Mus musculus: one gene and its partners. The protein of the gene in region 1 interacts with the protein of each later gene in a pairwise test. Links are inferred from orthologs where the notes say so. Each region holds a gene or a part of one and is shown on either strand. Other genes may lie near its edges.

Region 1 (3,749 bases):
GAAGGGATCCCCCCAAACTCACACGTAAATTACACTGTTAATTTCATGCCTGATATAAAGCTAGAAACATCGAGAAGAAAACTTGTGCAGAACTGTCTGCACGGTGTTTTTTAAGTGACCGCTGAATTTCTCCTCCTTAAGACTATGTCCATTCTCATCTCTGTTTGGCCTTTTCTTTCTCCAAGCTTAGAGTTGACGTGACATCTAATAGTAAACAGCAATTACTGACACCATCAGCATCATTGCAGGACAAGGTTGATGGGAAACAGGACCCCTGTCCTGGGATGATGCTCACATCTGCACGTGTCTCTCTGGGGAGTGACCTGCAGGTTCACACAAGCCCGTTGGAAAGGGTCCCATCCACTCAGTCATCTGTCCCTCCCACCTGCCGGTCCTCAACACCCCCCATGCCCCAGTCCACACAGGCAATAGGGGATGGTGGGAAGGGGGGGCTCTTCCACTCCTAACTTGCCTCTCCTGGAAGAGAGAAACTCGACGGGGGAGGTCTGCATACTTTTTAGGAGTTGCCTGTTATCTGCCCTTCTGAGGCCTACCCTAGAGTGAGCATGCTCCTGGGTCTCTAAGAGTTGGCAGATGGCCTGCAGCTCAGGCTCGGCCCTCACGCCAGTCAGCCACGTCTGCTGGCGTCAACAATCTCCTTTGCCTTCTACTCCTTAAACTCCAGTAGCAGAGTTGCCCCGATTTTGCAGGGCTACCAAGAGCAAAGCGACAGAGAAGGAGAGAGGGCAGAGAAGAGAGTGGACACCCGGCCTTTCCCAGAGAGCTGGGTTCGTAGCCCCCCCCACCCCCACCCCCACCCCCGAATCCCGGGACCCTGGGGTCGAATTACAGAAGCTCCCATTGCCATGCTATTGGCCGGCAGGAATCAGGGAAGAGGGCTCTAAGACCCTTTGGATGAGGACAGAAGTTTCTTTTCTTGCTTTGGTCCCCAGCACATTCACCATGGTTCCTCCCAGTCAATCCTCTGCGCACGTCCCTCTACATTCCGAGGCTGGCGAGCCAGTGACGCAACCTCGCCCTAGGCGCCGGGATTCCGGGCTCAGGTCTCTTGCAGGGGTTGGGTAGTGGCGGCCGCCCCGAGCTGAGGGCGTGGTGTCTGTTGGATTCCCACCCTTCCCACCCCGCGTGCTCCCAGCTCCGCCAGGGTCCTTGCGACCACGCAGAGATTTTCGGCCCACAAGATGCCCGCCACAAGAGAGCCAGGAGGCCTCATCCCCTCTCACCTCTTGCCAGTTCAGCTTTCTGGGCTGGGTGGGGAAGGGGCCGCGGAGGGGGCCTCCCATCCCCCCACATCTGGTGGCGGAGGCGCGCAAAGCCGGGCGCGCGCAGAAGGCAGTCTCGACTCCCTTTGGTCCCAGTGCTCCAAGTCAGCTCCGGGAGCGGCCGCTGCTACCGCCGCGGCCCGGGCTGCCTGGGGGGGCGAGCGCGCGTCACCTACACTGAGGAGCGCCGGGGATTTAAATGCCACTGAAACGGTGATCCATCACGGCCGCAGCCGGTAAACTTTCGCAGGCGGCTCAGCCATTGGCTGGTAGAGTCACGTGTCCTCCCCTCGAGCCCTCCGCCTGCCCGCCCCGCCTCTTGCGCACTGTACATTCATATCATTTTTCTTCTCTGGTCCTATGGAGGAAGTGAGAAAGTTGGCACGGTCACCCAGGGCTTCGCAGGATCCAATCACTCAGTGACAGATGGACAATGCAAGAATGAACTCCTTTCTGGAATACCCCATCCTTGGCAGTGGCGACTCTGGGACCTGCTCGGCGCGAGCTTACCCCTCTGACCATGGGATTACAACTTTCCAATCCTGCGCGGTCAGTGCCAACAGCTGCGGCGGCGACGACCGCTTCCTAGTGGGCAGGGGGGTGCAGATCAGCTCGCCCCACCACCACCACCACCACCACCACCATCACCACCCCCAGACGGCTACTTACCAGACTTCTGGAAACCTTGGGATTTCTTATTCCCACTCGAGTTGTGGTCCAAGCTATGGCGCGCAGAACTTCAGTGCGCCTTATGGCCCCTATGGATTAAATCAGGAAGCAGACGTAAGTGGTGGGTACCCCCCGTGCGCTCCCGCTGTTTACTCTGGAAACCTCTCGACTCCCATGGTCCAGCATCACCACCACCACCAGGGTTATGCTGGGGGCACAGTGGGCTCGCCCCAGTACATTCACCACTCATATGGACAAGAGCAGCAGACTCTGGCCCTGGCCACGTATAATAACTCCTTATCCCCTCTCCACGCCAGCCACCAAGAAGCCTGTCGTTCCCCTGCTTCAGAGACGTCTTCTCCAGCGCAGACCTTTGACTGGATGAAAGTTAAAAGAAACCCTCCCAAAACAGGTAAGTCCTGCCGGCTGACAGACAAATGCTGTTCGATTTTTGAAAGGGGCTGGCACACCTAGTTTCCTAGGAAAATGAATGATTTTTAAAAGATTGGTTCTTGTTTATGTCTAATGTCATCTAGAGTTGTAGTGAGTGGTGTAGGGTGCCCAGGTGTGCAGAGGCAAAAGCGTTTCACAGGGGCTGAGGTTTAAATGGTCTATAGTTAGATAGTGTGCGGGGAGTGGGAGGTGGTGATGGTGGTGATGGTGGTGATGGTGATGTCCTGTTAATATCTACAAGGCTCCATTAATCACGAGCCTGATCACACTAATGGTTGACTTCAGGTTAACACTGCTTACACATCGTCACTGGCGCTTCCCGATAGGGTTTGTGCTCGCTGAGTAGTTAACCGAATATTGCCTCAAGCTTGGGGCAATCTGGATAAAGGTTTAAGATTTTTTTTTTAATCTTTTCTCTCTTCCTCCCCTACCCTAGGGAAAGTTGGAGAGTACGGCTACGTGGGTCAACCCAACGCAGTGCGCACCAATTTCACCACCAAGCAGCTCACAGAGCTGGAGAAGGAGTTCCACTTCAACAAGTACCTTACACGAGCGCGCAGGGTGGAGATTGCCGCGTCCCTACAGCTCAATGAGACCCAGGTGAAGATCTGGTTCCAGAATCGCCGCATGAAGCAGAAGAAGCGTGAGAAGGAGGGGCTCCTGCCCATCTCCCCTGCCACTCCTCCTGGCAGCGATGAGAAAACGGAAGAATCATCTGAGAAATCTAGCCCCTCGCCCAGTGCCCCTTCTCCGGCATCGTCTACCTCAGACACTCTGACTACCTCCCACTGAGGCTACTCCAGCCCAACTCTGCAGCCCAGGCTTCTCCCTGGGCTGGGATTTCTTACCCAAAGCACATTCTTAGCTTATCTTCCTTTCTTTACAGACTCTCTCTTCCTTTCTCGTCCCATCTGGGGAGCTCCTGGCCAAGATAAGGTATTTCCAGAGAATTCTGGAGCCTTGGTTGGAAGTTAACTCCTTCATCCACATCGGGTGTCCACATCAATTGCTGATGGCTCCCAACATCCTTTCCTTCACTGTTGTGAGATTTTTTTCTCCCCACAACCTATGATTCCTTTTAGATGTCGGCTGGAGAACAGTTAGTTCCCTTTGCCATCAGACATTTGCAGGAAGGAGGCATCTCTCCTTTTATCTATGTATTGTTCTTCTCCACCTAGCCCTTAAGTAGGACATAGAGGAGAGAGAGTGTCCAAAGACTCATGAAGAAGAGATGCACTGTGTTTACACAATTAATTCACCCCCTAACTTAGCTGGTTTCATGTGTGTGAGTTTGCTGGTTGTAAATGCTTTCCCGTCAGAGATTTATCTTTATACACATTTTAT
Region 2 (3,749 bases), on another chromosome or scaffold:
CTTAGGTTCTGCTCCCCCCTCCCCCCAAGAAGGGGGACCCTGCAGTAGCTCCACTAGGGGGGCTTTTGACTCTTGACCATCTGAGCTACTTCTGATGCCCAGTTGTTATCTGCACATAGGGCCCTGACTCCCGGAGCTCAGCTCAACACGAACTCCAAAGCTTGCGTGGAGTTTCCAACAGAGGAATGCTCGACAGAGCCATCTTTATCGGGGGGGGGGGGGGGGGGGGGGAAGTCCTTCTCTTTGAGTGCAAAGCTTTGGAAGGGATGCACATGGTGTGGAATAGGAGGAAGGGGACACCCACAGTGACACTCAGATCACCAGATCAACCCTGTTGATCAATGGGATGACAGATGTCTCAGCCAGATCTCCCTCACATCCGGAGCTCAGCTCTTTAGAGACCCAGAGAGCCACAGCTGTCCGTTTTGGGGGAGGTGCTTTCTTTTCTGGGGTTGGAGGGAATTCTGTCCCTCACTGGATTTCCTATTCACACCCACATCCCCAACTCTGTCAGAATAAGAAAATTCCTTGCCCATGGGGCTGTGAGGCCCGAGGTCCTATTCAGGTACCAGTTGACTGGGTGGTGTTTTTTTCTTCTAAACAGGTTCTGTGTTCTCTCCACTCTGGCCTTTTGAGAGGACCAAATATTCCTTTTCTTCTGTTTCCACCTGCCAGATGTGGAGAGGCTAGTTGCTGGATTTCCAAGGTGGCTTCCTATTGGTATACCAGTAGAGAGGCTTGTGTAGAAAACACCTCCCCTCCGGACTTACAAAGTCCTGTCAGGACTCCTGTCATCCCAGCTGGCTGGCTTCTGTTCCCGGAAGAGGTTGGGTTCTGCCTTTAGGGAGAGTATGTGTTGAGGGAGAAGACTAACCTGGCCTGAGGCTTTTATATTCTCTCAAGTCTCTTCCCTCAAGGTCCCAGGCTGGGCAAGGAAAGACAGCTTGGAGAGGCCATCTGGTACAAGAAGCCTCACCAACAGTTGACAAAGGAAGTTGGTGGGGCCCGGTGACCTCTTCAGCCATTGGGGAAGTCTGTGGTCCCAGGGAAGGGAAGGTGTAGGGAAAAAAAATCTTTTTGCTCCTCTGCCCTAGTAGCTGAGGGTACTGAAGTGACTGGTCTAAATGTACACATCATTGCAGTGTGTGTGTGTGTGTGTGTGTGTGTGTGTGTAGCTTACAGAGCAGGTCCAGTCTGTAAGCCCCCTTCCCCGGGCCCCCGCAGCCCTTGGCGCCTGGGAGGTTGCACCTTTGAAACTGTATGCCAGCGGCTGGACCTCTGTAGCAGCAGAGAAGTGGTGGGGAGGAGGCGGGCGGTGGTCCGTGCTTGGGGGGGAGGGCGGGAAGGAGTCTGGCCCTGGAAGTGTGCTTTTCGATTGATGGATGACTGCCGGGTGTGAGCGAGCGTGCGGGTGTGAGTGTGTATGTGTGTGTGTGTGTGTGCGCGCGCGCGCGAGGTGTGTGTGTGTGCGCGCGCGCGGGGCCTGCCCATTTTCCTCCTCACAGCAGTCAGTTGGGAGCTGGAGGGAGAGGGAGACGCCGGCAGCGAGCACTGGGAGAGGAGCTGAGCGCCCTCCGCTTAAGACGCCTTTCCTGGGTCTACGCACAGACGCTGTCGCTGGGAGCATCTAGGTACCACTCGATCCGCAAGGGCGCATCGCACGATTCCACCGGCTCTTCGGTCCTTCGGTGGGGATAGCACCTGGAGCTAGCCCCGGACGGGGATGGTCAGCGGCTGCGGCCGTCTGGCACGCGAACGGGACACGGCGAAGGCACCATGGCGCTAACGCCCCAGCGCGGGTCCTCTTCGGGGTTGAGCCGACCGGAGCTGTGGCTGCTGCTGTGGGCAGCCGCGTGGCGCCTGGGGGCCACGGCGTGCCCCGCCCTCTGCACCTGCACCGGCACTACGGTGGACTGCCACGGCACGGGTTTGCAGGCCATCCCCAAGAACATCCCACGGAACACCGAGCGCCTGTGAGTACGGATCCGCCCGTCCACTGGGAGTCCCTCCACCCCCTCGACCCCTGGTTGCTCTCCCACCCTGACGGATCAGAGGGACCGGAATCGGGTGGGGGGCGCTAGACCGTTGGGCTCCGTCGCCAGTAGAGGAGTCAGTGCCTTGGTAGGTTTTTAGGAAACCAGAAACCAGGAGCGCATTTGCAGGTGCCAGATTCAAAGGGCCCTGGAAGCATCCTCAGCCCTTCCTCACACCTGCCCCTTGCGATCTCTGCTCTCCGCTGTGACAGGTCCTTCCCACTGTACAGCACTTTATTCCTCTAGGGTACCTGGAGCCTTCCTGGCACCTAGGAGAACAGCTTCCCACAGACTCCAGGCACGGTGTCTCCTTTTGGACACATGGGGTTTGCTGGGTTCTGAGTGGGCAGGTGGATTTGGGCTCTGAGGGCTCGCTGCCACGGACCAGAAGTTTCTGAGCACCTATTCTACCCATTGTTTGGTCCCAGAGCCTGGATAAGTCTTCCCTTGAAGGTGTAAGCAACCTACCCTCTCCTTCAGTCTTCATCCTGAGCCCAGGCAGACAGACAATGGGACCCGAGGGCCTTTGGTTTGGGTTTTGGGGAATATGACATCGGAACCCTTACAGGGTGAGAGGAGTCCTGGACTGCGAGCTCAGGGATGATACTAGAGGCCAGGAGCTCGGACTGGGACATAAGGTTGGAGACATTGACAGTGACAAGTCATAAAAACCACCCTTCCTTCCCTCTTGTTCTCTTGTACTTCTGGATTTTGAGGTAACTCCACCCTTTCCAGACCTGCCTCATGAGCACGGTGGAGCGTGTGTGATACATTTTCTCTTTTCCTGCCAAATGTGGTCGGTGTGAAATTCCGGCACCTAAGGATACCACGGCAGTGTGAGTCCGGGGGGTCTGCGGGTCGTGCGAGTGGATTTTTAGTCACACACAGGGCCTTTGTACACTTTCAGAGGTGACTGTACCAGGGGATTTTTTTTTTTTTTTGATACTTTGGGGAAGGTTAGTGGCTTCTTTGAAACCATGCTCCTCTTTCTTTCCACACTCCTGGGTGACTACAGTGAGCGTCAGAAAAGGTATACATATTTTGATAACTCAGGAGCATACTTTCATGAGTCTCAGCTGGCCAGAGGCAAACCCCGGGGAGAGCTGTTGCCTACATCAAACTCTGAACTTCTGTACCGAGGCCAGCAATTAGTGAGTACATGCTTGCCCCAGACTCTTTCTTGGCTGGGTTTGAGACATTCCCGTGACAGTTTCAGAGAATTTGCAATCTGCATGCAATCTAGTTGGGAACTGGCGTGTGTGTGTGTGTGTGTGTGTGTGTGTGTGTGTGTGTGTGTGCACGCACCCATGTAGAAATTGGGGTGACCGAACTGAGTTTCCTTGAGTCAGCCTCATGGACCTAGAGAGAAATTAAGGACAATCAAGTCTGTTTGGAGGACCTCTGAGGTCACCTTGGCCTGTTCTTTCCGGATGAAATTTCTGTCCCCTGCTTTACCCAGTGGTGTGTTTTTTCTGGGCTATTACCCTGGCAGCAGCCCACACAGGAGACACATGAGGCCCTCTCCTTTGCTTTTGCACCTTGTCTACTCTGCATTCTTGCTTTCCCACTGTCCTACTACCTTGACTGCTTCTGATAGGCTCTGCTTTGCCTTTCATGAATTCTTTAGTCTTTTCTAGTCAGTGAGATGGAAGTGAATCCCCAGACAGAGCAGAGTTGGGGGTAGCCCTGGAAGCCAGAGTATCTGGGTTAGAAGCC
Region 3 (3,649 bases), on another chromosome or scaffold:
AAAGCTAGAAAATTTGCTATTTGATTAATATATTATGCTTTGATACTGTGGTAGCTCATGAAATAAACCGTCTTTTTTACTTACATACTGTTGGTTATTTAACATTGTGCTTCATGCTTCATCATTCTATAAAAGTTTTGGTTCTACTGGGAAACTCTTTCTATGCTAATTTTGTAAGTTGCTCATTGTGATTATCTTAATGAGCAACTTACAAAAGGTATCTTAGACCTTCACTCTGTCTCCGACACTCTCTGAGGGATCCATGTTCTGTTCACACCACCTTTAAGTTAGATAGTTTAAGCATCTGTGATGTTGGCACAGTGACATATAATAACATATTTTTTCCTTTTTGAAAACAGATTTGGACTGAGCAACAAATTTGAATCAGAATTCCCTTCTTCATTAACTGGAAAAGTGAGTGTCTCTCTTATTGTTATTAATCTACTGTTTCTATATCTCAAATTATTTTCTCATAGAAATGAGTAAATGTGTGCTGAGACCCATTTATTGTCACTCAGCATCTCAGTGTTACGTTTCTTCCCTTCCTGTAGGTAGCTCCTGAAGAATTTAAAGCCAGCATCAACAGAGTTAACAGCTGTCTCAGGAAGAATCTTCCTGTTAATGTGCGGTGGTTGCTTTGTGGCTGCCTGTGCTGCTGCTGCACGTTAGGGTGCAGTATGTGGCCAGTTATTTGCCTCAGTAAAAGAGTAAGTTGAATTATGTCTTTTAATTTACATTTAGAAGTGTGAAACAAGTCTTACTTTTACCTTTTTTTTTTCTGTTTAATGAACCACACTGTTCTGAATGCTATATAGAAGTAATCTGATATAGTAAAGCAAGATTAATTAAATCATATATTCAAATATTATAAAACAGCTGTGTAACAGTCGTCATAATTTTTATACATTAGGAAATTATAGTCAAAAGGTGCAGCCCTATGTCTGTATGCATTAATTATGGACTAGAATGGTACTGTATATTTCTGTGCCCATGGACATACTTCTGAACCTCTTTAAATCTGATTGATACAGCTATAAAATAATAATATTCACCTGTGATTTGAATAGAATTGTTGTAAGGATACAGTAAAATAGTATTTATAAAGCTCTTAGCTGAACAGCTTATGAGAAATTCTGTCAGCTTCAATGCTGTTTTAAGTATAAGAGAGACAGTTTAAAGGAAGAACTGTGTACTTTGGCTCATGGTTTTAGAGATTTTAGTCATGGACTGTTACGCTGGCTCCATTACTTCTGTGCCTGACCATGCAAAACCATCATGATGGCTGAGTAGAGCTGCATGCCTCATAGTCATCAGGCGTCAGAGAGGGAAGGAGGAGATTGGAACAAGATGTAGCCCCTGAGAACAGAGTCCTTCCTACCCATTCCTCTAGATCCTATGTCTAGACATTTGAACCACTTTCCAATATGCCTTCATGTTAGGAATCTATGAGTGATTTAGTCTGTTGAGTAGGTTGTATTCCTTGTAATCCAGATCATCTTGCAGTCCACAGTCTCCCAAGCTCTACTGTCAACTGAGCTATCGCACAGCTCTCCTCTTACTTTTAAATGACATTGGTGTACGTCAGTGTCTCCTGTGCACTCACGTTCAGTACCTGAGTCTCTGTGGTCTATCCTGTCAGAGTTCCTGGAAGTAGTTACAGAGGCTAGTGGTCCTGGTTCTCTGCAAGAGCAGCCAGTACTCCCAACTCACCTCTCCATCCCCTAACATACAAGCTTTTGGAGGGAGTCCTTCAAATCTAACCCATAACAGAAGTTGTCAATAAGGAGTGACTAATATTATTACTAGTACTATGAGAGTACCCATGGAGGAGATAAAATGCTTACAGGAAAATAATATGGGTTATTTTATTTTTGTACTTTACAGTTTCTCTATAATGAATATACACTGACTCTGATTAGGAAAAATCATTGGAAGACCTAATTTTCATTGCTTATAATGAAAAAGTTCCAAGATGTTAGTTATAGATATGCCAAAATGATACAAATCAAAAGTTGGTTGGGTGGTTTTTGTTTTGTTTTGTTTTTGAAGACATTGTTTTACTCCTTGGATTTGACTGGCTTGAAACTCACTTCAGGTTAGTCTTGAACTAAGAGATCTGCCTGCCTCTGCCTCCCAAATGCTCCAGGCCACCATGCCTAACACATCACCATTGTTTTTGTTATCTTAACTATTATACTTACACGTGTGAAGTTGATGTAATATTCAGCCATGTATGGTAACTCAGGTATGAAATCCTAACACTCAGGCTGAGACAGGAGGATTGTGAATTTGCTACATAGTAAGTTAAGGCCAGCCTGGAAAACCAAAGGAGGGGGGCAGGTGTCAACCAATTTGGCTTGAATGTTTTTCTGTGGAAACATTTAATTTTTGTGCTAGATAATGGCGAGGAAATGAAGGAAATCACATTTAATTTGTTACTTGACTTCTATTATAGAGTTAGAGGTATATTTTACTGAAAATTTTTGAGCTGATTTATTGCTAGAAAGGAAATGATGCTTTCATAATAGAGTTGTATATTATTTTTTATAATATTTAAAATACTTATATTTCTCATAAACTATTTTATTATTTGTGTGTTGAACATGGGAGGTGCAGGTACCGCCAGAAGTGTTTAAAGGCCAGGGGACAACACTGTGCAGTCAGTTCTCTTCTGCCGTTGAGTGGGTTTCGGGTGGATCTCAGGTCATTGAGCTTGTGCAGCGGAAGGGTTTTTTTTTTTTTTTTTTTTGCTGGCCCTACTTTCTTAGAGATTTTTTTACCCCCCTAATTCTTGCCAGATTGCCTCTAGGCCACAAAAAAACTGTCTGGCAGTGTTTGGATTCACAGTTGTATTTTCTGATTTTCTTTAGGCTCTGTCTCTCACTGCCTTCCTCATTTCAGGCCTTGCTGTTGTCTGAGTGGCTGTCCAGGTCATATGGTTACGGTGGTGGGCTTTGTTTGTTGGATCTGGCCTTGATTTTCAGATCTGATCTTATCTTTTCCCTCCCTCCCTCCTTCCCTCCCTCCCTCCCTCCCTCCCTCCCTCTCTCCCTCTCTTTCTCCCTTTCTCCCTCCCTCTTTCCTCCCTTCTTTTACTTTTTAAATGAGTAATACAAGAGATTTTAATATGTGGATGCTATATTTAAAAAACAAAAGTGAAACCTTATAGTTCTCTATACATTTCCTGCCTTGAGTATAACTTCTCTGTACCATGTCATGAATGTATGGAGAGTACTAGAACACCTTTGTAAGATGGGAGACAAGATAGCAGGGATTTCCAACCCTCATTGTCATGGACCACTCTGCTAGTCTAATAATGCTAGAGCCTATAAATACTATTTTAGTATAACATTTAATTATTCTAAATACTACATTAATCAATATTTTAGATTACAAAACCCCAATTATATATCAAACAACTAAAATAAGGAACTGGAAAGTATTTGAAGATGTGAGAAAATGCTGTTCAGTGACTGCAATGACAACATTCTGGTAATGTGCAAGCTGCGAGGGCTTCACTAAGAACTAGGAAAGGAGGATGTCATAAAAGAAGACAAAGGCCACAGTATACTCCAGGCCCATCCACACTGGATGTCCCATTTACCTATCTGTTCTCCTCATAACAAGACTCAGGGAGAATCCAACCAAG

What was found.
Region 2: the proteins of Hoxa1 (region 1) and Slit1 interact in binary tests that used the Homo sapiens proteins (3 or more experiments, as listed by UniProt). The link is inferred for Mus musculus from reciprocal best matches to the Homo sapiens genes HOXA1 and SLIT1.
Region 3: the proteins of Hoxa1 (region 1) and Chic2 interact in binary tests that used the Homo sapiens proteins (3 or more experiments, as listed by UniProt). The two-hybrid records come from large-scale screens. The link is inferred for Mus musculus from reciprocal best matches to the Homo sapiens genes HOXA1 and CHIC2.

What each region holds. Positions count from the first base shown.
Region 1 is NC_000072.6:52,156,182-52,159,930, reverse strand, and holds the start of Hoxa1 (homeobox protein Hox-A1), read left to right. Parts: upstream 1-1,613; 5' UTR 1,614-1,709; coding exon 1,710-2,364; intron 2,365-2,841; coding exon 2,842-3,197; 3' UTR 3,198-3,749. UniProt on the Homo sapiens protein: Sequence-specific transcription factor. Regulates multiple developmental processes including brainstem, inner and outer ear, abducens nerve and cardiovascular development and morphogenesis as well as cognition and behavior.
Region 2 is NC_000085.6:41,741,436-41,745,184, reverse strand, and holds the start of Slit1 (slit homolog 1 protein precursor), read left to right. Parts: upstream 1-1,328; 5' UTR 1,329-1,776; coding exon 1,777-1,973; intron 1,974-3,749. UniProt on the Homo sapiens protein: Thought to act as molecular guidance cue in cellular migration, and function appears to be mediated by interaction with roundabout homolog receptors.
Region 3 is NC_000071.6:75,024,126-75,027,774, reverse strand, and holds part of Chic2 (cysteine-rich hydrophobic domain-containing protein 2), read left to right. Parts: intron 1-359; coding exon 360-414; intron 415-551; coding exon 552-707; intron 708-3,649.